Linked DNA regions of Schizosaccharomyces pombe. The protein of the gene in region 3 interacts with the protein of the main gene of each other region in a biochemical or structural test. Each region holds a gene or a part of one and is shown on either strand. Other genes may lie near its edges.

Region 1 (11,901 bases), on a different chromosome or scaffold from region 3:
TCATTTGATATCGCCCAAAATATTCTAGCTCAGGACACTCGGGCCGGCCTGGACGAAGCCGCTACTTCACAAATTCGTGGATTGATGAAACAGCTTCAGTGCTCATTTGATCAGGCAAGACTCATCTATATCCGTAAAGTCATGAGTGACAACAACGTTGACTCTACCGGCATGCCACTTGACAATAAAGCTGTTACAAAACTTTAAATGTCATTAAGCAACAACTGAAATCAGAAAATTACGCAAAGTCCTAAAAAATCTTAGTTAGTGTCTCCGAAAATATCTCAAAATCTTCATCGGCGGCCGGAATTTATTTTTTATTTATTTTTCCAGAATGGTATGTTAACTCATGGATACGAAAACATGTGGATACCGATTTATTTCGTTAGTTATGGAAACGAAATATAACATTGTCATAAGCTTTCTCAAACTTTTTACGATTCATGGACTTCCAAATCTTCAATTACTGCTAACGCTATCAATAATTCTTAAGAATTAATGAAATGTTTATCTTCAATGTTCTGACGATCCGCTGTACTTTCCATGTTCTATTTGCTATATGTTACTTTTGTGATCATTTGCTGCAATATATCAGCAATTCTCGAGATAGTAAGGCTGGTCTAAAAATTTTTTTAGTATTCGAACTAGCTGTTACTATTTTCAATACGGTAATGCTTCAATTAGCTAACCGTGTAAAAAACGGGCTCACCCTTGCAATATTGATTGTCTCTGTTGTAATGTTTGTGTATCATCAACAGCTAATAGTTAATTGCAAAAAGATGCTAGCCTTATAATTATTTGCTTTTCAAATTCCTTGAAGAGTAAAATTTTGAAGAAATATTTTGTTTTATCATGTTTGATAATGATCAAAGTGAAATTTCGTTTATTGTTTAGTTTATTATTGATACTTTAAGAGTCAGTAAGCTTATTAAAAGAGAGGTAACATTGTTTTTGAAACTGCGTAAGCAATATACGGGGCAGCAAGGAAGAGTGACAAAACTGGTGAAAAGTTTTAAGGTAATTGTTTAGCGCAGTACTCAGAGTCATTTAGCAATGCGTCATCTGGTATGTAACCCGCAAGGAAAAATCACATGTATGCTACTTCCATCAGTGCAGTCGTTTTGTAACCTTCTTTCTACAATTCATAACACACAACCTCTTTCTTTTTTTTGAACAATCTGTGAGGGTCTTATCGATTTAGACAGCATTTCGCCTCCTTCATTCATTATTTATTATATTCCCTGATGTAGAACAAGAAGGCCTTGCGATGGACGCGATTCATCCCGTATCTTTACGAAATAGTAAAAGACATCCATTACTGCATTCTGAAAGAAACCTCAGCCGCCGTGCAGTTTCTCCAAGCATAAGCAGATCATTTTTTCAGCATTCTAATGGATCCTTTCCCCTATTTCAGAACCACAGAAAGAGCTTACCTTCCGCTATATATAAATCCGTAGATCCATATGTTGATGCCAACCCACTAGATCCCTTAGCTGCTGCCAAAGCGAGTTTTGCGGATTTTCCTGAACAAGATGATTCTCAAAGTTCCACTAGTCCTTTATCCTCGAAGTATCACACCAAAAAGAATAAGCAAATTTTTGTCGAGGATTCAAGAAGAGGCGGGGCGGCTTCGAACGCGGCTGCCATTGCGGCTAAAAAGAGTGGTTATTATGAACGTACATCAACTAGAAAACGGTCGTTGACCGTTCCAACACCTCGTACATCTTTTCCGCATCATCCTCGAAGTCGACGATTTTCATTAAAGAATGCCGCAATTGCCACTTCTTACCACAAATTCAAACCTCTTTCATCCAATTCACTTTCTTCTTCCGGTATGCATTTTTCCGCTAGTAAACAGGCCTTCAACTCTCCTTTACTACAGACTTTCAGTCCTTCCCCTTCTGTATCTCCATTTTCGAATCCAGCCGTAGAGAAATTGAAAACCAGTGCGAGCAAGCAAGCGGCTGAAGCACAATCTTTAAGAGAGTTTGATTTTTTCACTCCTACTCCTGAACCCTCAGATAAGAATTTGGAAAAGCTGAAAAATGGTGCCAGTAAACAAGCTAGCGAATCCCAATCTCTCAAAAACATGGAATCACTTTCATTAGCAAGATCTTCACCAATCCTTACTTCAGAAAAGTTAAAAAATGGAGCTAGTAAGCAGGCTATTGAATCTCCACCTTTCAGAGCTTCGGAACCACTACCTTCATCAAATATTATACCGAATCCTGCTATGGAAAGGTTAAAAAATGGAGCTAGCAAACTAGCTATTGAGTCCCAACCATTTAAATCAGCGGAACCGTTATCTTCAGCAATTCCACTTCCCAATCCTATGTCCGAAAAGATGAGAAATGGCGCCAGCAAACAGGCTATTATGGCCCAAAGCTCAAAAATCAATCCCTTACCGCCACTAACAGCTTCAATTTCAGACCCGTCTTTTGAGAAATTAAAGAACACTGCTAGTAAACAGGCCATTGAATCTCAATCTCTAATGAATAGTGGCCCTGAACTTTTAGAGCCGTCGATTTCAGACCCAATGTTAGAGAAAATGAAGACTGATGCTGGTAAACAGACTGTTGAATCTCTGTCGTTGAAGAGTTCTGACGCTACAATTCCAAAACCATCAGTATCAGATCTTGGGGTAGAAAAACTTAAAAATGATGCTAGTAAATGTGCTGTCGAGTCTCAGTCCTTAATGATTAATGATCCCTCTGTTTCTTCAACCTCATTTTATAACCCAAATATGGAAAAACTGAAAAACGGTGCCATCAAGCAAGCTATTGAGCACCAAGCTTTAAATGCTGCCATTTTGAATAAGACACAATTACCTTATTTTCATCAATCATCTTCCGAACTACCAATATCTGCTAGCAAACGGGCTGCATTGTCTCAACAAACAGAGTCGGCCTCAAAGTCATCTAGTAATATCTCTGAAATGTGTGATTCACATCCTCCTTCTAACTTTTCAATCTCTGCTAGCCAGCAAGCTAGCAAGGACCGTTTTTCGGAGGCTACTTCTTCTATCGATTTGGATCTGAGTCCTGGTAGAAGTCTCTCTTTGGCTTCTAGTAAGCTTTCTGTGAAAGAAGCTGGTGCTCGCGTTTATAATAGAAGCGTTGCTACTCCAGTAATGACGCCGTCCAACCCATTCGAAATTTCCAAATCAGCAAGTCAGTTAGCGAGTATAGCTCAAGTACCTGTTTCCGAACCCGCAAAGACTTCAGAAGTGAACCTTAAAAAAAGCCTTTCCTTAGCTTCTAGTAAACTTTCTTTTCAGGAAGCTGGTACCTCCCTTAAAGAGAAGACTGCAAATGTTCAACATTCCCCGGAAGTTTTGAATGACCGCTCTTTGGCGTCACTTTCTGCTAGTCGGCATGCTGATGCCATATCTTCGAAAAGCAAACAACATACTGAAATCGCGCAGCCAGCATTTAATACGACTGGAACTGTGCTAATGAAGACAAAATCAAACCTTTCAGATTCTGCGTTAAGCACACCACAACATTCTGATTCGGTGCTTTTCGATATTACTTCTAAGGCTGCAAGGCTCGCTTCTACTTGTGCTAAGACAGATCTACACAGGAAACCAAGGAGAAAACATAAATCATTTACCCTTGAGAATTATTTTGGGCATAATGCTGAAGACGAAAGCCCTCAATCTGACGAGGTTGAAAGTCAAACGCCCCCTTCAGGATATTCTGAAAACGATATCGGCGGAACGGACATATACCCTTTTGCTTTACAAGGAGCTGCTTTGGCTGCCGCGAAAGACTTTTCAAGACGTGAAGCCTCCTTAAGTGATAGCCAATCCGCTGCTTCTATGGATATGTTGCCTATGAAGAAGAAATTGTCCCATTCATCTGCATCTTCTACCCGTTCTATTAAATCGTTATTAACTAATGCTAACCAAAAGCATATTCATTCCTCTATAAATGAAACTGATGATATTCCTACAATGGCCGCTCATATTGTTGCAACTGGTCAGAAAAATAAAGAAAAAGCACCTTCTTTTTCTAATGATCAGGCCCTTGATCACTTGCTTGGGTCTGCTCATAAACGAATTCCTTCTAATAAAACGGAATGGTCGTCGTCATCATTGCACATTCCTTCGCATAATTCTTTTTCTGACATCCATCATAGGAAAATAGCTGCTCATGCTGCAGCCATTACGGCTGCTTCCGAAAAACTTACACCCTCCATAGAAGAAACGTCGTATTCTTCGTCCAAGGCCCATGATGCGTCTTTGAGTGCTGCCACTCTAGTTGCAAATAAGGATAAACTCATTCACGCACCTACCCCTCAAGTCCTGGCTCCTGTGCTGCCAAAAGTTTCACTTCCTCATCGTCATTCAGTTTCACTTGGTCAAATTCGAGGAGAATCTGAAGTTGAAGGAGATGTTTTTTATGATGCTCCTTCAGATAAAGAAGACCTTGGATCTTCAAACGCTCCTTTAGATGTACCACATGGTGCTAATCGTAGCAGCATGGATGAAGTTAACGGTTCAAAATACGATTACAGTGATGGAATACTTGATGGCTCAGGTCAGTATACTGATAGTGATATGTCCGATGACGAGAACTCTCTCAAAGATTCGCAAAGTTCGGTTTTAAGCTTTTCAGCTGTTCCCACAAAAGTATTGAAATTTAAGTTGCGTGATGTATTGGGTTCTGAGTATTCTCCATCTCCACAACTGCTTGCCTCTTCAAGTGATGTTTCAGGCTCATCGTCAGCAGTACGCGCAGCTATGAAAGCAGACAAAATCTTTCCAGCTGTTCATGAAAACCCACCTCCTTTAAAAACGAAGCAATCAATTGCCAAACCTTCACCTCATACATTGCGAGTTCCTCAGAAAAAGCATAAACATTTTTACCATCGTGATGACGGAAAATACAAGAGTGGAACCAATTTGCGTAAATCCGAAACTGTTGATCTCCCGCAGTTCTTTATTGATGAAAATCGTAGAAAGCTCTATGAAGGGTTGTGGGCTGCTAATAAAGGTTATTTACTGAGCAAATCAGAATATTCCAAACCGAATGATTTGATTTGCAATATTGTTGTCCGCGAACTCTGGTCTCGTAGTGGTGCTCCAACGAGTGTTTTAGCCAAAATTTACGATCTCGTTGATAGACATCACACAGGTGTCTTGGGGCGTGATGAATTTATTGTCGGTATGTTTCTGATCGATCAATATTTGAAAGGCCGCAAGTTACCGTTGAAGGTACCAGACTCTGTATGGCTAAGCAGCAAGCGTATGGGGGATATGCTTTGGCGATTAGAAAAACTGCAGAAAAAGACAGATAATAAAAAACCTTTCTTCAAAAAAAAGAAGAAAAAGAGAAAACATTTGAAAAAGTTTTTCGACTTTAATACAACAGCAAAGGTGAACGAGGGCGCGATGACTGACTAGAGAAATCAACATCGGGTCCTCTTTTTTTTAACGGGAAATATCTTTAAGCTTATCAACATTTATTAAAAAATGGCATTTCGGTATTACTTCATTAAGGTCTTTTCATTTGAAACACTCCGTTGTGAACCTGTTTTCGTAAAGCTTTCGCTATTTTTGCGAACCACGTTTTCAATCAGTTGTTAGTTTGCTTTTGTTAATCGTTAATGATAGTACTTTCTGATCTATTTAAGCTGTCGATTGTTTTACTCAATTTGCAGATATTTCACAACCGAAGCGACCTTTTTAAGCGAAAAGAAGGACTTTATTTTTACATCATAACTTTTCATTTTGCAAAACTTTTATTATTCATTTTTACATTTTTTTATGCATTACCCTTTTTATTACTTGATTAATTACTGAAGCATAGGTTAGATTTACGCTTAACGAATTCCTTGGATACCATTTGCTTGTTTGTTATAAAATTTTTCAAGTATTATTTATATCCTTTAATTAGCATTTTTTAACTATAATAAGCCAACACAAAGGTTTAGCAATTAAAACTAGCCAAAATACTGTTCGATGTAGATTTTTTTTTTAAAAAGACATGACTTCTTTATTAAACAATCTTGCTAGTATGAACTTGTCCCAATCCATAATGTGTTGTGACTCACTTTCGATCCTTAAGTTTAGAGGTAAATAAACCAAGTTCTCCAAGGCCATGATGCCGAACTTCTGTTTTTAATGTTAAAATCATAAGATATTATGGAGTTAGCTAAAATTGGAGACAGGCTTAACAATTATTACAATAATATTTATACACTTTCCGAAAAACTTGGGTATTCGTTTACAAAGATCAGTTTTAACAATATCATCTTGGACGCTTTGTCAGGACACCAAAGAAAATTGGAGATCAAAATTATAAATATTGAGTCAAAATGCAATGAATTATCTTCTGAGATATCTCTTTTAAGAAAAAGACTGGGCATCATCGAAGAAATCGAAATACCGCGCACTCTAATTGACCAATATGAATGCCTGGTAACTTACCATAATGGTATTCGAGCAATCTATAACACGAAGAAAAATGAAGCAAAAAATATGTACAAAGAAATTGAAAGGTTATCTGTAATCCTTGGTGAATCAGTTGATGAGGTGAATTTTGTGAACGGTGATTTTGAGGACATATCGGATATAAAGCTTGAGCAGTTGTCAGCAAAATTAAATGAACTTCATCAGATATACAGACTTAGGAAAGAAAAAAACATTGAAATTAAAGAGGAATTAAAAAAACTGCAGGATTCTTTGTCTATAAAACTTAGCATGCCCGCTGATGATTTGTCCAAAAACGGAATAAAGCATTTGATAATTTACAAGGAGAAGCTCAGATTTTCTTTAGAAAGCAGGAAGTCCCGGGTCGATGAAATTGTCAACGAAATGAAAAATATGTGTGGTAAAAACCCGACTTCTGAGTTACCGACCAACTATAGTGATAAAACCTTGACTTTGGTAAGAATTTGATATTTTTATTAAAATAATTATTTTCAAACTAACAATATAGTGGGAAAATGAACTTTCGTCCATGCGAAAAGTGTACTTTGTTAAGTATAAAACTGAATACGAGTTTTTACAAAAAAGGTACCTTTCACTGGCTCGCATAATGTTCGTTTCTAAAAAAGAAATGTTGTTTACATCTCAATTTAAAGAAATACCTAACGTTAATCGAGAATTAATTCAAAGTATGAAACAAGAAATTGGGAACCTAGAAGTTGATCTCCATCTTCAAGGGGAATTGAACAACATGATTAGGCGGTATCTTCTCTTAGAGTCTAGGGTTTATAAAGAATCTCAAAGAATGAAGGTATTGTCTGGATCAGCTTCGCAGCCTTTCACTTTAAAGCGCTTGCAAAAGGATTTTCAATTACTGAAAGCTAAATTAATATGCGCATTAAGGGAGTGGGAGGAGGATAACGAAAAGAAAATTTATGTCTTTGGAAAACCATTGTCTTCAAGATTATTAATGATACATTCTCCACCAATTTTGCAGAATCAAGAGAATATTTCCTCTAATGACAATAGCAAATCTTCACCAGAGTCATCGCCACCTGCGCGGAAAACCACAGGTAAGATCGAAAATAAAAAGTTAAGAAACATTGATGTCCAAAGCAAAAAAAGCATTCGTTTTCCTCTTAGGCTAGCCTCTCATGAAGAGCCGTTAATTGATAGAATGGTTAACCAAAGTCCTGATACTCGAAGTGTTTCGAAAAGTAAGAGATTAGTAAGGGAAACATCTAGTGGTTGCTTATTCAAGAATCATTCTAAAAGTAATACACTTTCCCCTAGGAGGAAAGGCTCTCGGCATGGTCCCAGAGAGCCGTGTTTGTCTCCCGATGCTTCATCTTCGTCGATTCCGGTCACTGATATAAAGGAGATACTTCCTTCGCAGCACGACACACCTCATAACTCTGTCAAGCTTACTGGAAGTTCGACGACTCCTGCTTCTGTGTCGCTTCGTCAAATGATAGAGCCATTGTTATCACGTACTCCTCCCAAAGGTGAATTTACTAATTCACTTGATGATACACCGACTCAGTCTAATGTGGAAAAGGTTGACAGGTTTTTGGAAAACCATGATTGGGAAACGTGTAGTGAATCTTCCTCTGCAAGTGAAGATCAAAGTTTATGTAAACAACTATCTTCTTTTTCACTTTCCAGTAGTGATATCTCAAAGAAGTTAAAAAACAATTTAAATGGGCTACACTTTTCGTCTGATGAAGGTTCTAAACTACCTACTTTTCTATAATTTGTCTCTCGTTACTCTACAATATTTTTTAATATACTTACTATTAATGTATGAATATAATGAAATAATTCGTAATTTTTTTAACTGAGCATTAAAATATTGTAGTATTAACATATTCAAAAGCAATTTTCTCCAATCTTATTTCATACTGTTTAATATTTTTTTATCTTATTCAAAAATAAACAAGATTTTTAATTTTAAGTGCTTTGACAGTATCTTTTCTTTAGTCTATGTTGTAGTGTACTGTACGCTATTTGCCAGTTGCCTTTTGCCTTTCACCAATTTTTGCACCGATAAAACCACATGGGTAAATCACAAAAAAAGACGGCCAAAGGCCGTTTGGATAAATGGTATAAGCTTGCCAAAGAACAAGGTATTTATTAATAGCTACAATGAACACTTTTTAACGTTTAGGGTATCGTTCTCGTGCTGCTTTTAAATTAGTGCAATTGAATCAGAAATATAGTTTCCTTGAAAAAGCTAAAGTCATCATTGATCTTTGTGCTGCGTAAGTTGTATAGTTATTATTCAAAATCCTTTTACACTGACCGTCAAAACAGTCCAGGTGGTTGGTTACAGGTTGCTTCTAAAACATGCAAACCTGGCTCATTAATCGTTGGTGTTGATCTTGCTCCTATTAAACCCATTCCTAATTGCCATACGTTTGTTGAGGATATTACAAGTGATAAATGCAGATCGCAATTGCGTGGATATTTGAAAACTTGGAAAGCTGATGTGTAAGTAATTGATATGCTGCAGGAAGCGGTTAAACGGGTGCAACTATTCTTGTTTCACTTGCAATCTTAGAAATTTGATTGAACTGATTAGAATATTTGTTGCCCATATTGGTTTTTGTCGAATTTTTATTAATGCATTGAGCAGTGTTCTTCATGATGGTGCACCAAATGTTGGTTCTGCATGGTTGCAGGACGCCTATGGACAAGCTCAGTTGGTGCTAATGTCAATGAAATTAGCATGTGAATTTTTGGTTGCTGGTGGTACATTTGTTACAAAAGTTTTTCGTTCAAGGGATTATAATAATCTTTTATGGGTATTCAAACAACTTTTTAATAAAGTTGAGGCTACTAAACCTCCATCTTCTCGTAACGTCTCTGCAGAAATTTTTGTCGTATGTCGTGGGTACAAAGCACCAAAAAAGTTAGATCCTCGCTTTACAGATCCTCGTACCGTTTTCGAAGAAGTCCAAGAGCCAGTTACAAACGTTGATGCAAAAGTGTTCCATCCTGAAAAAAGAAAACGTAGTCGTGAGGGTTACGCTGACGATGATTACACATTACACAAAACTGTCTTGGCATCGGAATTTGTTACCGCAAATGATCCCATTCAAATCCTTGGTACATCCGCTGAAATTGTATTCCCAAAAGATGATGAGGAATGTCAACGCTTATACAATTTAGACGTCACTACTGAAGAAATTCTTTTGTGTTGCTCAGATTTACAAGTATTAGGTAAAAAAGAATTCCGCGATATTTTGAGATGGCGACTGAAAATAAGAGATGAGATGGGTATAGGTAAAAAGGTAGAGGATGAGCAAAAAACAGTGGTTGAGGAGATTCCTGAAATGGATGAAGAAGAGAGACTGGATCAAGAATTACAAGATTTGAGTGAAGCCGAACGTGTTAAACTCAAACGTGAGCGTCGGAAAGCGAATCAGCGTAAACAGCGTGAAATTGTTCGTATGCAAATGGGAATGTTGGCCCCAATGGATATTGGCTTGGAACATGAAGCCATGGGCGAAGACAGTTTGTTTGGTCTAGCAACCGCTGAAAAGCATGGTTTAAAAGAATTGGAAAATGGAACGCTTCCCGTAACTGAATCTGTTGACGAAGAAGTTTCTACGGACAATGAAGTCGAATACGATAGTGACGATGAGCGCGATCGCTTAGAGGCTGACTTGGATTCAATGTATTCTGATTATACTAAACGCAAGGCTGAATCTGATGTGAAATATCGCGTTAAAAAAGCGCGTGGCGATCTTGATGATGAAGAATGGAACGGTATAGATAATGGCACCGAAAGCGATGATTCTCAGATTGCTGAGACGAACTTTGCTACTCCTGATAAAGACAGACTGACAACGTCTTTGTTAGACAAAGGTTCGACTAAGGATGGGCTTAGTAGAAAAGCACGTATGTTTTTTGACCAGGACATTTTTGATGGTATTGAAGATGCCGATGCTGATGTGGAAATCATGTCTATGAACCGCGCTGCTATAAAGAAACGTGAAGCTGAACTTGCTTCTCAAAATAATGACGATGGAAGCAAGGGAGACCAAAGTGAGGACAGCAATGATCATATTGAAGTCGTTCCAGTTGCTTCAGCTCATGATGAAGATGATGATTGGAATTCTGATTCTGATAATGATGAAAACAACGTTGAAATTGTTACTGCCGAGGCAATGACACTAGCTCAGGATATTGCTTCTAGGAGAAAGTCTAAGGCTGATTTGATTGATGAAGGTTATAATCGATGGTCGTTTCAATCTAAAGAAGGTCTTCCAGATTGGTTTTTGGATGAAGAAACAACCGTCAATAAACCCAACAAGCCAATCACCAAAGAAGCCGTTTTGGCTTTGCGGGAAAAAATGAAGGCTCTTAATGCTCGTCCTATCAAAAAAGTTCTTGAGGCACAAGGTCGTAAAAAGATGCGTACTATTAAGCGTCTGCAACGTGTCGCTAAAAAAGCTGAAGGAATTTCAGAAAGCGGTGATATGACTGAAAGTGAAAAAGCTAAAGAAATATCGCGACTCGTAAGCCGTGCTACTAAATCGAAGCCTAAAGCAAAGCCTACGTTAGTTGTTGCAAAGGGTCCTAATAAAGGCCTTAAATCTCGTCCTAAGGGTGTTAAAGGAAAGTATAAAATGGTTGACAGTCGAATGAAAAAGGATTTGCGCGCACAAAAAAGACTAGCTAAAAAGGGTCGTCGTTAAAATACTTGACTGTTTAATTTCATTAACAGTTTTTCGTGGAATTTAGGCTTAAAATAATTATATCTAGGTTAGAGTTTGGGTTTTAGTGGATTAATAGTATTCTTATTTAGTATTAGATTTGGGAGTAACAGCATGGATATGTTTTGCAAGAGTTAAACTGCTACATATATAAACATTATTAATTAACTATTTATATGCAGTTCTTTTCGAATATTTCGATTGAGTAAATGGAAGAAATTTGAATTACAGGTCTAAACCAGCGGAGGAGCAGCCTCAATTCGTATTCGTCTACGGACGTCCTCAATGTCGTTCGTCAGTTCCTTTTCCCAATAGACATTGATCAATGTTTTTGCATTCAAACCATTACGAATCGACCATGGAATGTATACCCGACGAAACCTTGAAGCCTGTTCACAATTTAAGCGTAGAGGACCAAATAAAGCAGAGAGAGCTCCAACTGGTAAACCCATGTTAACAAATTCCAGCCTAAATTGTTAGTATACAAACCATGAAGTTAGAAATAAAGTAAAGTATATCTATACCATTTAATAGCTAATTCTCCTTCAATGTTTGTAGGCATGTTACATATAGCATGGTAAAAATCGTGAGATTCACGATATCTTTGCATAACATATGCCTCCTCTGGGTCATCTACAAAACGGGTAGGGCTTCGAGTATCGGGTCCAACATGCTCTTTGTCTATCCAGTCAACATAAATTTTACCTAGGGTATTTGGCGGAAGGGTCCGCAAAAATGGTAAGTTTA
Region 2 (11,256 bases), 1.4 Mb from region 3:
GAAGTTTTTTCAAAACACAACGGTTCAGCTATTCCTCTTGGCAGATTTACCTTTTTCAAACAACTGGATTTGTTCCTAAAAAGAAATAAGGAATTAACTGTGCAAAAAATTATTTTTCCGTTGGCACACATTCAAATGCTCAGCGATGCAGATGCTAATAAGCTTTGGCAATATATTTTTCCTCTTGCATGGAAAATACTAAGTTCGGATAACCGTTCTGACCTTTCAAAGTCTTTAATCTATTTACTCACTCGTGATTATCACATCAAACAGGTAAACAATCGACCGAATGTGATCTCTACTTTGGTTTCATCTTTCGTTAAGTGTGCTGCAAAATTAGAGCTTCCACCTCATTTGGTAAAATATCTTGGAAAATTGTACGGTGTATATCATGAATCCGTTTCACTTCTCGAAATTCAGCTGAGTGATAAATATGACATGTATCAGAATGCAAAAGTTCAAGAAAGCCGTGCGGATGCAGTCGCAGAGTTATATGCATCTTTAAATGAAGATGATATGTTTTATGGCCATTGGCGACGAAACTGTAAGTACTTGCAAACTCAAGTTGCTCTCTCGTATGAGCAACTTGGAATGTGGGGAAGGGCTCAACAACTTTATGAACAGGCACAGACCAAGGCTCGCAGTGAAGCCATTCCCTTCTCAGAATCAGAATACAACTTGTGGGAGGATCAGTGGGTAATGTGCGCTCAAAAATTACAACAATGGGACGTCTTGACAGAGTTGGCGAAGCACGAGGGATCTTCTGAACTATTGCTCGAGTGTGCTTGGAGAATTAGCGATTGGTCTAATAATCGTGAATCCTTAGAGGTTGCCATTAAGAGCCTTTCTGATGTTCCTACTCCACGGAAACTTACCTTTCAATGCTTTATGACACTTCAAAAGTCAGTATCTCAACCTCTTGCCATTAAAGAGTTCCAACAAGTATTGTCTGAAGCCATTCAACTTGCGTTAATTAAGTGGCATCAACTTCCAGAAAAAGTTAATCAATCTCATTATTCACTTTTGCATCTGTTTCAGCAATTTGTTGAACTACAAGAAGCTGCTACAATTTATTCACATCTGAATGCTATCAATTTTCAGAATTTGCCTACTAATGTTCAGTTGATTAAAAGTGCTCTTCAAGTTTGGCAAGAGCGGTTACCTAATGTCTGGGACGATATTAATCTTTGGCGTGATCTCATTTCTTGGAGACAAATAGTATTCTCTATGATAAATCGTGTTTATCTCCCCTTGGTCCCTACGATACAGGCTAATAGTAGTGCTGATTCGTCTAATCCTCCGAATACCTCTTTCTTATTTAGAGGATATCATGAAACCGCTTGGCTAATTAACCGATTCGCTCATGTTGCCAGAAAACATAAACTACCTTCCGTATGTCTGAACCAATTAACGAAGATATATACTCTTCCAAATATTGAAATTCAAGAAGCTTTTTATAAGCTTCGAGAGCAAGTTTTATGTTATCTACAAAACCCAAGAGATCTGAAAACAGGTTTGGAGGTTGTTACAAATACCAATCTGATGTACTTCAATTCTAGACAAAAGTCAGAATTCGTGACATTAAAAGGAAAATTTTTAGAAAAACTAAATCGAGGTGAGGAGGCTAACCAAATGTATGCTGCAGCAGTACAAATTGATTTAGGGTTGCCAAAGGCATGGGCAGAATGGGGTCGTTACAACGATTTGCTTTTCAATAAGTCACCAGATAATTTGAGTGCAGCATGCAATGCCATTAGTTGCTATCTTCAAGCTGCTGGTACTTACCAAAGTTCTAAAGCTCGTAAGATGCTGGCAAGGGTATTGTGGTTATTAAGTTTGAATGACAGCGCCGGTACTATAGTTAAAGCTTTTGAATCATACAAAGGTGATATACCAGTTTGGCATTGGCTTACCTTTATTCCCCAGCTTTTAAATTCACTTTCTAAAGGGGATACTAAATGCGCACCTGTTGTTCTTAAAAAAATTGCTAAATCCTATCCACAGGCACTATTTTTCACTTTAAGAACTGCTCGTGAAGATATTGCACAGGTAAAACGCACTGAGATGGCAGCATGGAAATCAAATACGACTGATGAAAATAAAAGAAATGAGGATATTTTAAGCATACAATCTAACTTTCTTTCTACCAATCAAAGCACGAATGCTCCAGCAACAAATAAAGAAGATGGACTTTCTAAAAAAGTTTGGGAATATATTGATGAAATTATGTCAATTTTAAAAACTGCTTATCCTCTATTGGCTTTGACTATGGAAACTTTAGTTGATCAAATTCAAGCGAAGTTTAAATGTAAGAATGATGGAGATGCTTTCAGGCTAGTGGTAGCCTTGCTTAATGATGCTGTACAGCATAGCATTCGTTTGGGGATCGTAACGGATGAAATGAAACTTCCTTCTTCAACCGAATCGAACTTAAGTTTGTTTGCTGATAATATTCTCCCTGACTATTGTAAACAACTATTTAAGGAAGATTTCATTGTCAATTCAAACGGTTTGAAATCATATATTTTCAAACTAAGGAAATGGAGATCATATTTTGAGCGGTTATTATCTAAGGTTCCTAAAAAACAATATTTGGAACAATACAGCTCATTCTTGTGTGAATTTCATCATCAAAAATTTGATGAAATAGAAGTTCCTGGACAATATCTTTTGCACAAGGATAACAACAATAGTTTTTCTTGCATAGAAAGGTTTCTTCCTGAAGTGGAATTGATAGTAGGACATGGCGTTTGCTATAGAAGGTTATCCATTCGAAGCAATGGCGGAACTATACACCCATTTGTCATTCAGTATCCTTCAGCACGAAACAGCCGTAGGGAAGAGCGTTTTATGCAGCTGACCAGATACTTAAATGATGCACTTGCTTTAAATTGTGAGACTCGAAGACGTTGTTTGAAATTTTACATTCCTGCAGTGATTCCGTTGTCATCGCACATCCGGCTGTTAGAAGACCAACCGTCTTCTATTACTCTCCAAAAAATATACGAAATTTATTCAGAAAGAAATAACTTCTCCAGAGATGATCCGAAAGAGTTGTTTACAAACGAGTTATCAAAACATATGATGGAATTAAACTCCCAAATTAGTCAGGAATCTACTGATGCTGAAAAATTAGCTAATCGTAAACAATTGTTTAGTAGGAGAATCGGAATGTTTGAAAATATTCAAAAGCTTTATTCTCCGTCAACGATTTTAAAAGATTATTTCTCAAGTATCTTTACTAATTATTCCGATCTGTGGTTGTTCAGAAAAAATTTTTCATACCAATATGCTTGTTTTTCATTTATTACATACATACTAAGTATAAATAATAGGATACCTGCTAAGCTTGTTTTTTCTAGAGACTCTGGCGGTGTTTGGACAACAGAAGCGCTGCCATCTATGGTTTCTTCTACTCCAGTTTACCATAATGGAGAAATTGTTCCTTTTCGCTTTACCCCCAACATTAAAGAATTTATTGGAAAAACTTGTACTGAAGGTTTACTGGGCCCTTCAATAATGGCTATAGCTCGCGCGCTCTCCAAACCGGATTTCGATTTGGATATGTACTTGGGTATCTTTATTAGAGATGATCTTTTTTGGTGGCTTGCACAGCAAACTAAAGGCGTGCCGGCAGATTTCAGTATGCTCAACAAAGTCAATAGCAATACTGATCTTATAATGCGAAGGGTTGCATCATTAAGTCAGGTTGCTTATGGTAACTTACCAGTCAATCAAACAGCTATTGATTATTTGGCGCAAGCCTCTAGTTCCAAAGTTTTGGCACAGATGGACGTCTTATGGGCTCCTTGGCTGTGAGAGAAATGAAAATGTTTTTAATTTTACAAATAGACATTAAAAATAATTAATGAGACACACTTGATAGTGAATTTTACTGGGAATTTTTTATAAACGTAAACTATTTTGTCGTAAAAAAAATTGACGAATAATGACTATTGAAGTAAATTTAGCACTTTTCAAAGAAAGAATCATTCAAACGGATTTTTATCCAACACATTACTGCTGGTTGAGAACTTTTTAGCCCATTTGTTGTTATTAGTTGATTCTTCTTCCGCTTTTCGTTTAAGGTACAAAGCACTAGACTTGTTTCGCAGAGGATTCATGCAGAAATATAGCTTTCTGCCGTAATCTTGTGCCTTTTTTTTCTCAATCTTAAATTTTTTTGTAGCTTTCAAATTGGCAGAAATCGAAATTATCAAAGGTTGCAGTTCTGGAATTTTTTTTGCTTCTATATATTGTAAACAAATAGTTGGATTCGTATGATAAATAGCACCCAAAGCAATTATGCTGGGTGAATGTAAGAAATAGATGTCAGAATGCAATGTCTCAATTAGGAATTTTTTGGAAAGGTCATGACATTCGTAAAACTTTTCGACAGCAACTTTCGGAAGCACTGTTTGACAATCTAAAAGGAAGCCTTGTAAAGGACGAAATGGAAGCCAGACGTAAAGGTCCCATTTTAATGATTGACAAACGTTAAATTCGTATTCAAGAACTTCTTCGGGAGTCGTCTTGGGCATGTTTTTACAGAATTGTTCAATAGAGATATAATGATCGTTGCACTTGGTAGCTAAAAATAAAGAAGTAAACCTAATGTAAGAAAAACAATGTTAGCTTAATGGACTCGGCGACTTAAACATACGAAATAATTTTTGGACTATACTCCATGACAGAGTTAATTAGATAAAAGCGTTTAAAAAAAAGAATGGCCGTGGACTAAAATTTTGTGAGTAAAGTCGGAATGTTTATATTGAGTACAGTTTCCAAGTAATTGAAGGAAATCCGACCATGTCTAAACATACGCGAATATGAGTTGGTAAGGAAAGAGCGGAAGAAAGTGCGTTCAACTGGAAACTATAATAATTTACAAGTTCAAGTTCTTCTTCAACGGTAAGAGTTGGAGGCAAAACTTCTAAGGATGCTTCCTTGTTTTGTAAAGACAACTCTTCCAGCATTCGCTCACGTACAATATTCGTAAATTTTTCATTTACTTTAGCACGTGTTTTTGAAAGGTCTTCTTCCGTAAAAATCCAATCTCTGTAATGCGTGGAATCACGAAATTTATCGGCAGACATGTGAATAATGTAAGTAGAATTTACAGCACTCTATCAATTGAGGGTTATGCAAAAATTTAAATACTTCTCTATAAAGCCAGTAAAATAATAATATTTTTGAAATTTGGATACTTCTCTGCTATGAAAAACCCAAATCGCTCGTTCGCTGAGACTTTGTCGAGGACATCAGATACCCTGGATGTGGAGAAGAGAGTTTTTGCAATTAATGTGCGATGTGCAAAAAGAAAGCAGCACTATAAAGTTATATTAATTTAATGAAGAGTTTATTACATAAACTAAAATTTACTAATAAATAAAATATTGTTGAGTTGAAAAAAGTCTTGCATTCATGTTTCAATCAATTTGTATCAGCATAACATTTCACTGAAACGAAGCTGAAAAAAACAATAGTTATATAGGATTATGCTTTTTTATATTCCATTGAGGCATATCATTTAAAGCCAAAAAATTACCTGACAACGTTCAGTTACATATTTGAGTGAATTGCAAATGAACAAGAATTGGTAGTTAAATAAGGAAATGAAACAACATATTATTAATTAAATTTAATTGGAAGTCAATCTTTGAAATGAAACACGCTTTCTGTGCAAAAAACAGAAGTAATATTATAATCATACACAGGCAGCGGCGTATTAAGATTGTAGGCACCTTGGCACGAGATCGAGCATTCATACCCTTTAGTAGAATAAACACAAACATTAATTTCATGGACAATGTAGTCTCGCGGCAATTTCGTCTTAAAAATAATAATTGGAAATTATAAATAAATCCGAAAATTTCTCATCTCCTCACTCTTTCCCCAGTTCTCTTAATCTATTTTCGTAATATGATGAACATGTAGTAAATATTGCTATATAAACTATATAAACAATACAACGTAAACCTGGTAAAATGTACAGGAGACCGAGATATTAAATAGTGTCTGTAGCAAAGTTGCAACCAAACTGAGGTCGGAATTGAGTTCTAAAAAGCTGAAAAGGAAAATATAAATATAAAATGAGCCAGAATATGCTCCGAGATTTAGAAAGAATCTATTATAAGTTTCTGTTTGTTCAAAGATTCTTCGCAAATAAATATCCACAAGTAAGTATCATCCTTTTTTAAGTCAATAAGGATTTAGGTTATCTCTAATTAAATCTTTTCTCTACTGTCATAAAAAAATGGATAAAAACTTATGTATATATTAAACATCGCCTAAATACGTAAAAGAGGATAGTGATGTCGATATTATTCGATAGATTCTGATACGGGGATCTAATATTCTTACAGTATTTGCTTAAGTCTCGAAGTAGGTTCACAGCGATTTCGAAACATACCCACACCACCGTATTCAAATAGACATTGTTTTTTTTTAGTGGAATTCTTGTAAGTGTACTTTATTGATTTGCTCACTAATAAGTAGAATTTTTTTTTGATTCGTCGCCGATATCGATTTATTTTTTCAATACATTCCTATTCCTCGTATCCAGCTTAAAGTGTTTTCTAATTATTAGATCAAAATGGCTGAACTCCACCTTTCTTTTCCAGCTTATTCTCTTTGTTGGATTAATAACCATCAAATGGCGGTTGGTGGTGGAGGAGGAACTACAAAATCTGGTGTTAAAAACAAATTGGTATGTCAATTCGTGACTGTAAGTGAAGGATTACTTCATTATCTATCTATTTTACAGCATTATAAACTTTTTAGTATCCGGATTGTTAGCTAAAAAGATTATGTTTTACAATTGGACTATAGGCGCTAATTAGTTTGTCGAATTTAGAAGTTATTATCATATGAAGACTATGAACCTGAAGTTGGTGAAGGTCATACAAAATTTATAGAACATGGAGAAATCGAACTTAAGCATTCGGATGATGCCGTTATGTCGTTGGGTTATTTTAAAAATGTATGCAATATTTTTTTATTGCATAGCTAACGAAATTAAATTGTAGGAATTAATAGCCGGTATTAATAACACCATTGACGGAAAGTTAATTGACCATTTACGTTTATATGGAAGAAAGGATAAACTATTTGAGGAAAAGAACGCTCTCAGGTTAACCGATTTTGACAATGATGAACAATATCAAAGGTTATGTTTATTTGAGCCATTACACGATGCAATTTGTATATCTTGCACTAATAAAAGTTTTTTTATCATCTCCAAAAATGATCACAAAGTTTTGTTTGAAAAACATGGTTCAGATGTGTATGACGTTTCATCTACTGAAGACAAGGTAAGCCACAGCCTTTACTAAATTTTATTTATTAAATCCTTACCATTCTTTTGTAGCTTGCAATTGCAGTTGATGATCGCGTCGAAATTTATGATTGGAACACTTTTGAATTGGTGCAAGTACTTTACATGCCGGTAGAGCGAGCCACAGTACGAGGTGTTTCGTTTTTACCCAACCAATCCATAGTAGCTGCTTATAACTATATTAAAGATTCCAAAAGGTTTGCTTCATTGGTTCGATTTGATTACAGTTCAAAGAATCAACTTTGGAGATTTGGCATGATCCGAGATTTAAAAAATGCAAAGGGCGTCACCTGCTTTTGCTGTGATAAGGAGAATGGAATGATCATAGTTGCTGGAGCAGATTGCAGCATTCGTTTCATGTCTTTAGACTTAACGGTATGTGTTTACTTAAATATTTTTATTGCGATTTTGCCTTCTAATATGCATGCTAGAAATTGTCTCAAGTTTATAAGCATAGCCTTCCAGTAACTGATATGCAGTTATCCCCTGATTCTGAAGCACTAGTTAGTGTTTCTGCTGATGGCTTGCTTTGTCTTCAGTTTGTAGGAAAATTCAAAAATTTGAGCGCTGTCAAACTTGAGGATGCCGGAGTCATACTTCGATTGTCTCTTATGTTCCCTTTTGTTTTGGCGATCCTGTACTTTTACTTACAACTTCTTTTCCCAGATGAGAAGTTAGACGCAATTCATCGATTCTTTTCCTTTATTCTTCACATTTTTTCGAAATACACGATTAGAAACTATGACCTTTAAAAAAAGTAAAACCAGCTCACGTTTTATGGTTTCCTATAAAGATTTGGCTGGCACGTAACTAGCTTATTGTTTCCTGCAACTTTGCAGACTTTTAGAGTTCTTTTGTTTGGATAGAAGATTTATGTTTTGGGTGGTTTCATTTACCACAGTCATCAATGACGATATGAGGAAATAAAGAAATTCTACATAACTAATCATGAGTATGCCAATTTCGATCTGTACAATGACTATGCAACATTATAAAGTCTGTAGGGCATTTATGAAATTTTGCGTTGGACGACCTTAGAATACAAAATGTATGTGTCTTTTAAGTCATAAACATGTTTTAGGGCCAGCGGCAGTGACAGTAGTGAGGATTTTGAAGTCTTTTAAAACCAAGGAAATTGTATTCATAACGGTCAGTGATTAGCATATGAAATTCGTTAAGCCATTATGGTTATCAGATATCTGGGAGATCAAACAAGAACCAAAAAGTAAAGGCTTAGGCGAAATCAAAAATATACCTATTCAAAAATATTTTTTGTAATTGATTGAACAGATTGAGCGAAACGATTCACGATATTCGAGAAAAAGCGAAATTTGCAACGTTTGCCTTTGTGTGCTCTCAAGACTTTGAGAACATCACCTCAGATCAAAAGAGAACGGCTAGTAAGTAGAAATTAAAAGTAATCAAAGCACAATCCTCTATCTTTCAGGAAAAAGAAAATCCTCATCGATTGCAATCTCTTCTTTCGAGTATAGATTTCTATAACTCAGTACACTCAACTAGTTTGAAAACAGTGAGCCAGTGCGTAGTACGATAAAATTGAAAACCCTAAAGGAGAAGACAACATTACGCCAAGGGCAACGAAAGAAAAAAGAATTTCATAACTATGAATGAAAGAGCTCTTCGACTGCTTCTAATCAATCGTTTCACATATTTAATGACTTTTCGAGTACCGTTGATGACACACTACGGCAGTTACGAAGGTAGCCACATAACTTGTCTTATCATTCATACCGACGATAACGGTAGCGCACTACAAGGTGTGGGGCATTCTTCGGTTCAGAAATTACAATAGAAGAGGCGAGGCTTATAAGGTCAAACGAGAATTACGCGATGCTTAATTTTGGAGGGAGAATTTTGGTTGGAGCATGATATCAGGTAGCCGCAGTTTTTAAAGCCGAACCGAGTGTTGGTGCAACGTGGGGTTATTTTTAAGGTAATGAGAAGCGAAAAAAAGGTCGAAAGGACAAAGGACGTGAGGCATCGCACTTAAAAATTGGTATAATAGCACACTTCAATAATTAAAATCGTTTGACTCTTTCAGGATTTGTATTGCAATAGAGAGCAAGAAAAATCATAGGGGGCGTGCGAACGTTTTTTTTTTGTGATAAACAATTTCACTTGTACTGCAAGAGTGTCGGAGCGAAGAAGATTACAGTAACTAAAAAGGGGGAGGGAGGTTTTCAAGAGACATAATGTGAATGAACAGGTGTTTATGTGTACCTTTGGACATGCAAGTGCATCTTTGGACTATGAGCTTTCTAGACACACAAACGTCTAGGACTTTGCAGCACCTGACTCGGGATGATTGAGATATAGCGACTTTCTTAAATGTATTTACCGGGTTTTAAGAATGAAAAGAAGGAGAAATTTTGGTAATGCTGAAAGAAGGTATTGGAGAGATGCTATGAGGAGTGTTTACTAAGCAAAGCATTTTTCTTCTAATTCCATCCACATTTCTTTGTATACCTATAAAAAAATGAAGTTCTTATTTGTTTCCTATTCAATTACTCGTTGAAAGTGTAATAAAATCTGCGCACAACGAAGCATGTAATGGCAGTAAACAATACCCAGGGATGAGGAGGAGAGAGAAAGAAAGACGAACCAGTAGGAGGAAGTTAAGAAAAAAAAGATAAAGAAGAACAAAAAAAAAATTATTAAATCCAAATGAATTCCATGACAATTCCAAAAATTGATAAATGTCAAACGCCAACAATTTTTTCTTTTCCTTGCATTTCTCTCACAATTCTCTTCTTCTTCTCTATAACGTCCGTCCGCCTTTGTCGCAAAGTGTGTCTCCCACTATAATCATTGAAATCCACAATTCGTCGTTATACCATTATATGTCATGGTCATCTGCCACGCTTTTCCCGGCCGTCTTCGCCGTGCTTCTTTCTGTTACTTTTATGTAATCAACGCCGTTACATGTGTACCACTCCACTCCCCCGGTCTTCGCCTCCTAATTGGACCTTGTTTGCTACCTAAAATTGAAGTTTATTTAAAGTAAAGTTGGGATTGGTGGGTACAAGATACATGACATCTTTTTGTATCGCTTATATGACATCACGGACAAGTCGTCTTTGAGAAACATTGTCCGGGACTAGGTAACGAAAATTGCGCCATTTCTCACTGATGTGAGCAATCCTCCGGTTCATCATAAAAAGTAAACAGGTCGCTGCAAAATGCTCTTTTCCACTTGTATTTTCGGTTTTTTCCTTTCCCAACCACTCTGTCTGTTTCATAGCTGAACGGAGTCGTAAAAGTTCTTACACCGCTTTACTGACTTACATGGAAACCCGAGAGCAATTTTCCTCGTGCGTCTTGAACTTGGTGAAAAAGGAAATTTTTCCAAATAAAAAAACACAACATTCCCTTTAGAAACCCCGAATTTTAGACATTTCTTTTACTTTCTAACGATACTCTTCATTTTCTCTTCAAAAGACAATCAATTTTGATAGAGACTTGTCAGCTGTTCATAAAAAAAATTTTTCCTCCAAAAGTGAACACTTGAAGCAACAATCCACAAACACAAACCAGGTTTGCTGTAAATTGTTGTTGTTATCTGTATTTTTTTAATTTTCCCCGAAACGACTTAGTTTTGACGTGTTTACTATTGAATTATTCGAGTTTGGAAACGTCTTGTACTCGACTATTTATTTCTAAACCGATTTATGTTTGAATTTGATTTGATTTTGCTACTTCCGAAGCTTTTCAAATCTCATTTCACGCCACATCAATCATTTAATTCATTTTAAAGACTTTGTTTTTATTTTTGTGTTTTTGTTTTTTTTTGTGTTTTTAGTCTTCATACCATCTTAATTTCTTCATTTTTATTCCTAAAAAGACCATTCTCAACGCGTTTTTTGTGTCCATCTGTCTCTCTTTCTTCCGCATAAAAAATG
Region 3 (7,007 bases):
TTTATATCCAGGCGAATGTTATTAAATAAAGGTACTGCAAAAGGACTATTAGAAGCGAAAAAAGAGTGCTGGTTATTGAAGCTGAGCCGTGATGGATTTGCAAAGAACACTTATTGTTTGTAAAACCAAGTTTGGTGCAGTGAAAACAGAATATAGTTTTGGGAATAAACTAAACACTTTGTTTGTAAGGCCGGCATTTTGGGGCATGGTTCGTTCTTTTGTAGGAAAATGCCAGGCATTCTCTCAATATGATGGAATTGAGGATATGGTATGTAAATACAGATTTGACATCAATAAATCCTGTTGTTCAGTCATCTTGACTTATATTAAGGGACTGTTTGTGGGGTAGAATGACTGTGTGATTTCGTCAAAGTATAGTTGAAATGTGGAGAAGCTTAATGGAGATGGTTCAATCACTTGAGAGATGCATAAATAAGAGTCTAAGCCGTAATTTAAAATTAGTAAGTAAGAGAAGGAACAAGGTCGGAAATTCGTTTATCTGTGAGCTTATTTCTGTATCAAAGCATAGTAATCAGAAGGTCATCTGAAAAAGGGGAGGGGGGTTATTAAAAAATTTAATCATATTGGAACTAAAAGAATAAAGAGAAGAGACATTGAAGTGAGAGACGAAGTGAATCGTAAAGAGCGATCTCAGTTTCCAGTCATGGATTTGTTTGTTTACAACAACTCCAATTATTTTGTATGCCTCTCATGATACAATAAAAGTGTTTTTAACTGGAATGAGAAAATATTAAAAATAATTATTATATCAATTTTTTTTGTTACACAGTCCACATTCACCGTACAACAAAACAAATCCCCCAACGACTATTGCTTTTTCTCTTTTCATATATACCTGTGTACCCCCATCACCCATCGCCTTTTGCAATGGAGGATGTGGAGCTGTGTGTATTTGGCAATAACGAATACTACCCTTGTAAACGGTATATTCATTAATATAATCCATCGCATCAGTATTTGGATTTGTAGTTTCGTAATACCGTCATTAACTAGCTAGTTACTATGTGCTCCCTAGTCTATAATAACAATTCTTGACATCGTAAGCATTTTGATTAATTGATTGTCTTGTAGCTAGTTTCCTTCACATTTTGACATAGAGAGCGCGAAGGGCTCCGTTAAATGAGTTCCCAACAAAATGAATCAAAGGCAGTGCGAGTTTTCGTGGGGTTTATTGGAATCTGTCAATTAAAAATAAAATAAAATAATAGAATAACAACAGGAAGGAAAAAAGCTAGCATGTCATTTGTTAAGTGTGAGATTGGTAGTAAATTGGAGAACTGCTTATAAACAGTCTTTCCGGTTCGCTAGTAATGGTGTCCAAAGGGAGTGTAAATTAAAAGGGTGGATAAGTCTCATCTCAGCATGGAACCTAAATAAATTATTGTTTAGCAGGCAGAATTGTTATGAGGGAAGAAGTGGAGGGAAAACAATTTTCAAATGGCATCGCGATATAATTAGAGTAAATTGTGGCACAACGAATAGAGTGTGATGCGATTCACCAACCGTGGTGTTAACCATTAAAGCCCCTGTTTTTCAAGAAAACTACCTCTTTTACTTCAACATGTACTGCCTGTGTGCCTTTGTATCTGTCATATCTACTCAACGACTATTAGTATTACTCAGAGCTATTTACTTCTTCCTTTTTTCTCCAACGTAGATTGAATTTCAATAAAATCGAATTACGAAAGTGAACGTGCTGCAAGAGTTTACTCTACACCTCGTTATGTAACAAGCATTCAAGATAAGCCACAGAGCCCCTTACACTGACTCCACACACGATGCTGGTCGATAAACCCCAGACTAATCGAATCTTAAAATTTACCACAAAAGTGACATGCTACCCATCCCTTAGTAGTCACTGTAATTATTGCTACACCAATAATGAACCAAATTTGTGGGTCCTTTCGACCATTCCTGCTTTGTTGAGTCCAAGTCGATGAATTAGCGTTTTACAAGATTACGAAAGCCATGCGGTAACGTTTGCTAAACCGAGAATCCTGAATACATATATTGGTGAATTTCTTCCATCTTAATTTAAAACGTGGGTGTTTGCTTACAAACGTTGGGAGTAGTATAAAGATCAAAAGATTGCGTTGCGAAGTAGTGTGTTAAGTACCTACTTCATTTATATACACATCGAGAAAGCTCTTGTAAAAAGGTTTTCCCTATAAGAAAAAGTCTTGCTGGAATTGTTTGTGTGTTTTTGTTGTATATAGCTTCACTACCATACCATCATACTGCTATACAAACCTGTCCTCAATTTACTTACCACTGTATTCTAAAGTACTCTGTAATTAATAGTATAGGGGTTAAGGTTTCTCGTTATGGATATCGAAAAGTCTGACAAGTGGACGTATGTGAAGGAGCGCAAAGTTGGTGAAGGAACGTATGCCGTCGTGTTCCTGGGTCGCCAAAAAGAAACTAATCGGCGTGTGGCTATTAAAAAGATTAAAGTGGGCCAGTTCAAAGATGGTATCGATATAAGTGCTTTACGAGAGATCAAATTTCTTCGGGAGTCAAGGCACGACAATGTCATCGAGTTAGTTGATGTATTCTCCACAAAGTCCAACCTCAACATCATCTTGGAATTCCTGGACAGTGATTTGGAAATGCTGATCAAAGACAAATTCATCGTTTTTCAACCTGCCCACATCAAATCGTGGATGGTCATGTTGTTACGCGGTTTGCATCACATTCATTCTCGCTTCATCCTTCATCGAGATTTGAAGCCTAATAACCTTTTAATTTCGAGTGACGGTGTCCTAAAATTGGCTGATTTTGGCCTTTCTCGTGATTTTGGCACCCCAAGCCACATGAGTCATCAGGTCATTACACGATGGTACAGGCCTCCAGAGCTATTTATGGGTTGTCGAAGCTATGGCACCGGTGTTGATATGTGGAGTGTAGGCTGCATTTTTGCAGAGTTGATGCTTAGGACCCCGTATTTGCCAGGCGAATCTGATCTGGATCAGCTTAACGTAATTTTCCGCGCTCTTGGAACTCCTGAACCAGAGGTCATTAAAAGCATGCAACAGCTTCCCAACTACGTTGAGATGAAACACATTCCTCCTCCTAACGGTGGTATGGAGGCTCTTTTTTCGGCAGCTGGCCATGAAGAAATTGATTTACTCAAGATGATGTTGGATTACAATCCATATCGTCGTCCCACTGCTCAACAAGCCCTTGAGCATCATTATTTTTCTGCCCTTCCTAAACCCACACATCCTTCTCTTCTCCCACGCAAAGGGGGTGAGGAAGGAATCAAGCACGTCTCTAGTGACCTGCAGCGACAAAACAACTTTCCAATGCGTGCAAATATTAAATTTGTTTAATGATTGATCGTGTGCTAGTATGCACCTTTAACTATATACCATTCTTTTCTCATTCATGTTTCCCTACAGAAAAATTGGAATGATGTGACTGTATGCGGATTTTTCTGTTTAGATAATTGTCATTCTATTTTTTAGACGTTTACTCTACTCGCTGATAATTTCGATATCAACGTTATACGAAAATATCTTCTACTTAGCTTCATTTCCTTGCGGTACTCTTTGAGGTATTATCGCCCATTGCTTAAGAGTTAATGGAAATTGATTGCTTTTTCTAACCATATTTCAGAATTATGGACACTCTTATTTTCATCTGATAATACAATACTCATTCCAACGTTTAATGATTTATGTAAACATGCAATCCATGTTTTTAACATATTTGGTAGTAAAGCTAGAATTATGATGTATTTATAAGATCGTTAAATCTCTTATATATAAGTTTTATACAATATGAATTAATCAATAGACTAGCGAAAGCCTTCTTGTAAATCGTACTCCAGCTTTTCTGGAAAACTGGTACGTCCAAAAACTCATTAAATTATTAACGTGGTACGTTACGGTTTCTAATTTAATTATTAAACGAGCGAGTACTTTGACAGTTAAATAGGCTACTGTGGTGCACTCGGCATCGATATTCTATACAAAGCAGTCACATCTTTTGACACTTGGCCAAAATTTTGGATATTGAATACTGCATCCACCAAAAATGGTTCGAGGTCCTAAAAAGCATTTGAAGCGTGTTGCTGCCCCTCACCACTGGCTTTTGGACAAGCTCTCCGGAACTTACGCTCCAAAGCCTTCTCCAGGTCCTCATAAGGCCCGTGAGTGCCTTCCTTTGATTGTTTTCTTGCGTAACCGTCTTAAATATGCTTTGAACGGACGTGAGGTTAAGGCTATCCTTATGCAACGTCTCATTAAGGTAGATGGAAAGGTTCGTACCGACTCTACTTTCCCTACCGGCTTTATGGATGTGATCTCCGTTGAAAAGACTGGTGAGCACTTCCGCCTTGTCTATGACATTAAGGGCCGTTTCACTGTCCACCGTATTACTGCTGAAGAGGCTAAATACAAGCTTTGCAAGGTCAAGCGTGTTCAATTAGGTGCTAAGGGTGTTCCTTTTCTCGTCACCCATGATGGACGTACTATTCGTTATCCCGATCCATTGATCAAGGTCAACGACACCATAAAACTTAACTTGGAAACCAACAAGATCGAGTCGTTCATTAAATTTGATACTTCCGCTCAAGTTATGGTTACCGGTGGTCGTAACATGGGACGTGTTGGTACCATTGTCCATCGTGAGCACCATCTTGGTTCCTTTGAAATCATTCATGTTAAGGATGCTTTGGACCGTGAGTTTGCTACTCGTCTTTCCAACGTTTTTGTCATTGGCGAGACTGGCAAGAGTTGGATTTCTTTGCCCAAGGGTAAGGGTGTCAAGCTCAGCATTACCGAAGAGCGTGACCGCAGACGTGCTCTCAAGGGACTTGCCTAAATATTATTTTTTCAAAAAGCAAATGCACATTTTGTTATAATATGATGGATGCGTTTTCGTAATTTTGTGTTGATTTTAAGACATGTAACTTTAAACTCATTTTAGATATGTCGCGTGCATAAGTAATAGTAGCATTAATAATTCTTGTAAATCGTTGTGTTGTGTGACCTGTCTTTTTAAAAATTCAATGATGATCTTCGATAATACTTTCGAATTCACCAGTTGGAGAGGTTTGTTAGCTAAAGAATGTGAATAATTTCTTAGTTGGATATGCGTGTTGGTAAAATACTCTAGTTTTCTTATTTGTTACTAAATTTCAAGTCAAACGTAATACAACAAAACAATTTCCTACGAGCGAAAGCGAGGTTAAATTTTTTTCTAGTAGAATTATATTTTTGAAAAAACTAACTGAGAAGAGTCACATTGTTGGCAGGTAAACATCAACAACCAAAAAGGCTACGTGAATAGTGAGCGCTTGGCCGCAAGTTTTATGGTTACTTAAACTCGTATCCTTATTTAGAATAATGACGAAATTGGACGTCTACCATAATACAGAGAGATACGCAATTTTCATAGACTTTAAGCATTGAAGCTGTAGTTGAATATCTTTGATTAAGCCGCTCTGCTGTAACAATTTGGAATTATTGACTTAATGTCTAGCGCTAAAAGAAGACTATACAGTTTAATTCGTAAGAAATTACATTACTTTATAGTTGCTAACTGCAGAAAATGCGACCGAGCCGTACGCTTTTGAACCAGATCTAGCGGTTAATTTGGATATCGCTGATTTGATTAATCAAACTGGCGGAAATTTGTAGGAAATTCACTTATAATATTGATTATACTAACGTGTTTATTATTTTATAGGCCTCGAGAAGCTGCCTTTGCCATTGTTCGTAAGGTCAATGATCGCAATCCAACAGTTGCCTATCTGGCTTTAAATGTATGTTCTGTTTTAATTTTTCACAACTTTGTTTTTCACTTAGAAGTTACTTCGCATTATTTGATATGGTACTGCTTTTATAACTTGTTTATTTTCTGAACGAAACAATCTTAAGTGCTGAACCTTCAGAATTCCAATCTGGTTATTGTGATTTGTATAAAATAGATTTTTGTTAAATTTATTATAAATTTTGCTGAGCCCTTTTTTTTTCACGTTTTTTTCAAATGCCTTTTGTGCTAACATTTTCTAGCTTCTTGATATTTGCGTCAAAAATTGTGGATATGCCTTTCGTTTACAAATTGCTTCTAAAGAATTCTTAAACGAATTAGTAAGAAGATTTCCAGAGCGCCCACCTTCTCGCTTGAACAAAATCCAAGTCATGATTCTTTCTTTAATTGAGGAATGGCGGAAAACCATTTGTCGTGTTGATCGTTATAAAGAAGACCTCGGTTTTATTAGGGATATGCACCGACTTTTATCTTACAAAGGTTTGTATTCAGTTAACTTGAAATCTCGATTATAATTTCCGAGTTAACCACTTTAGGCTATACATTTCCTGAAATCGATAAAGAGAATCTTGCTGTTTTAAGTCAAAAATCTGTTCTAAAAACAGCAGAAGAACTTGAAAAGGAAGACAGAGAAGCTATGTCTGCTAAACTACAGGAACTAATTCGTCGCGGTACTCCGGCAGATTTGGCTGAAGCCAACAAACTTATGAAAGTTATGGCTGGTTACGACACTGAGCAAAAGCAAAAATATAAGGAACATGTTCTCGTAGATTTAGAAAAAGTCAAAAGAAAAGCAGCTCTGTTTGGTGAAATGTTGAATGAAGTTTCTGAATCCGATAAACTAGCCAGTGGTGATTTGTACGATGAGCTGGCCTATTCCTTGAAGGCTGCTCAGCGTAAGGTTGATAAGATATTAGAAGAAATGAGTCCGGAAGATGACTCTTACGTGACTGTTAGCGATTTGAAATCGTTAATCGCATCTTTACTGACCCAATATGACCACTTACTGGAAGGCGATTTTTCATCAGCTCGTACCGTTGCTGCCGATAACAATTCGCTTCTTCAAGCTACTACTGAATCGGCAAAGAGTAATTCCAAAACCTCGGCTAATGCATCTAATACTCAAAGTGCCATGGATTTACTTATCGATTTAGACATAGGATCTGATGCTCAATCTCCTTCTTTACCAGCCTCATCTTCTCAAATGC

The links.
Region 1: of the proteins of mcs6 (region 3) and spb1, one has a biochemical effect on the other in vitro, tested with the Schizosaccharomyces pombe proteins (one study listed by BioGRID).
Region 2: the proteins of mcs6 (region 3) and mcs2 form a complex in vitro, tested with the Schizosaccharomyces pombe proteins (one study listed by BioGRID).

What each region holds. Positions count from the first base shown.
Region 1 is NC_003424.3:913,825-925,725, forward strand, and holds spb1 (rRNA methyltransferase Spb1), read left to right. Parts: upstream 1-8,456; 5' UTR 8,457-8,489; coding exon 8,490-8,559; exon of another isoform or gene 8,560-8,600; coding exon 8,601-8,694; exon of another isoform or gene 8,695-8,746; coding exon 8,747-8,923; exon of another isoform or gene 8,924-9,068; coding exon 9,069-11,136; 3' UTR 11,137-11,309; downstream 11,310-11,901. Other genes in the region: SPOM_SPAC1687.07 (uncharacterized protein), read left to right, coding at 1-207; SPOM_SPAC1687.08 (uncharacterized protein), read left to right, coding at 504-794; irs4 (ENTH/VHS domain protein), read left to right, coding at 1,268-5,407; protein mcp1, read left to right, coding at 6,149-6,892, 6,945-8,186; ubiquinone biosynthesis protein Coq4, read right to left, coding at 11,388-11,622, 11,679-11,901. UniProt on the Schizosaccharomyces pombe protein: Required for proper assembly of pre-ribosomal particles during the biogenesis of the 60S ribosomal subunit.
Region 2 is NC_003423.3:1,886,996-1,898,251, reverse strand, and holds mcs2 (transcription factor TFIIH complex cyclin Mcs2), read right to left. Parts: upstream 5,273-11,256; 5' UTR 5,097-5,272; coding exon 4,824-5,096; exon of another isoform or gene 4,738-4,823; coding exon 4,664-4,737; exon of another isoform or gene 4,612-4,663; coding exon 3,990-4,611; 3' UTR 3,844-3,989; downstream 1-3,843. Other genes in the region: SAGA complex, phosphatidylinositol pseudokinase subunit Tra1, read left to right, coding at 1-3,819; GDP/GTP exchange factor Spo14, read left to right, coding at 6,596-6,709, 6,857-6,982, 7,029-7,313, 7,370-7,711, 7,768-8,088; sul1 (sulfate transporter), read left to right, coding at 11,254-11,256. UniProt on the Schizosaccharomyces pombe protein: Essential for progression through the cell cycle. Possesses kinase activity that can be detected when myelin basic protein (MBP) is provided as an exogenous substrate.
Region 3 is NC_003423.3:3,241,084-3,248,090, forward strand, and holds mcs6 (transcription factor TFIIH associated cyclin-dependent protein kinase Mcs6), read left to right. Parts: upstream 1-1,917; 5' UTR 1,918-2,345; coding exon 2,346-3,353; 3' UTR 3,354-3,485; downstream 3,486-7,007. Other genes in the region: rps401 (40S ribosomal protein eS4), read left to right, coding at 4,060-4,848; gga22 (adaptin), read left to right, coding at 5,501-5,537, 5,575-5,662, 5,716-5,791, 6,042-6,279, 6,336-7,007. UniProt on the Schizosaccharomyces pombe protein: Protein kinase essential for cell proliferation, where it is required for completion of cytokinesis. Phosphorylates the C-terminal repeat domain (CTD) of RNA polymerase II.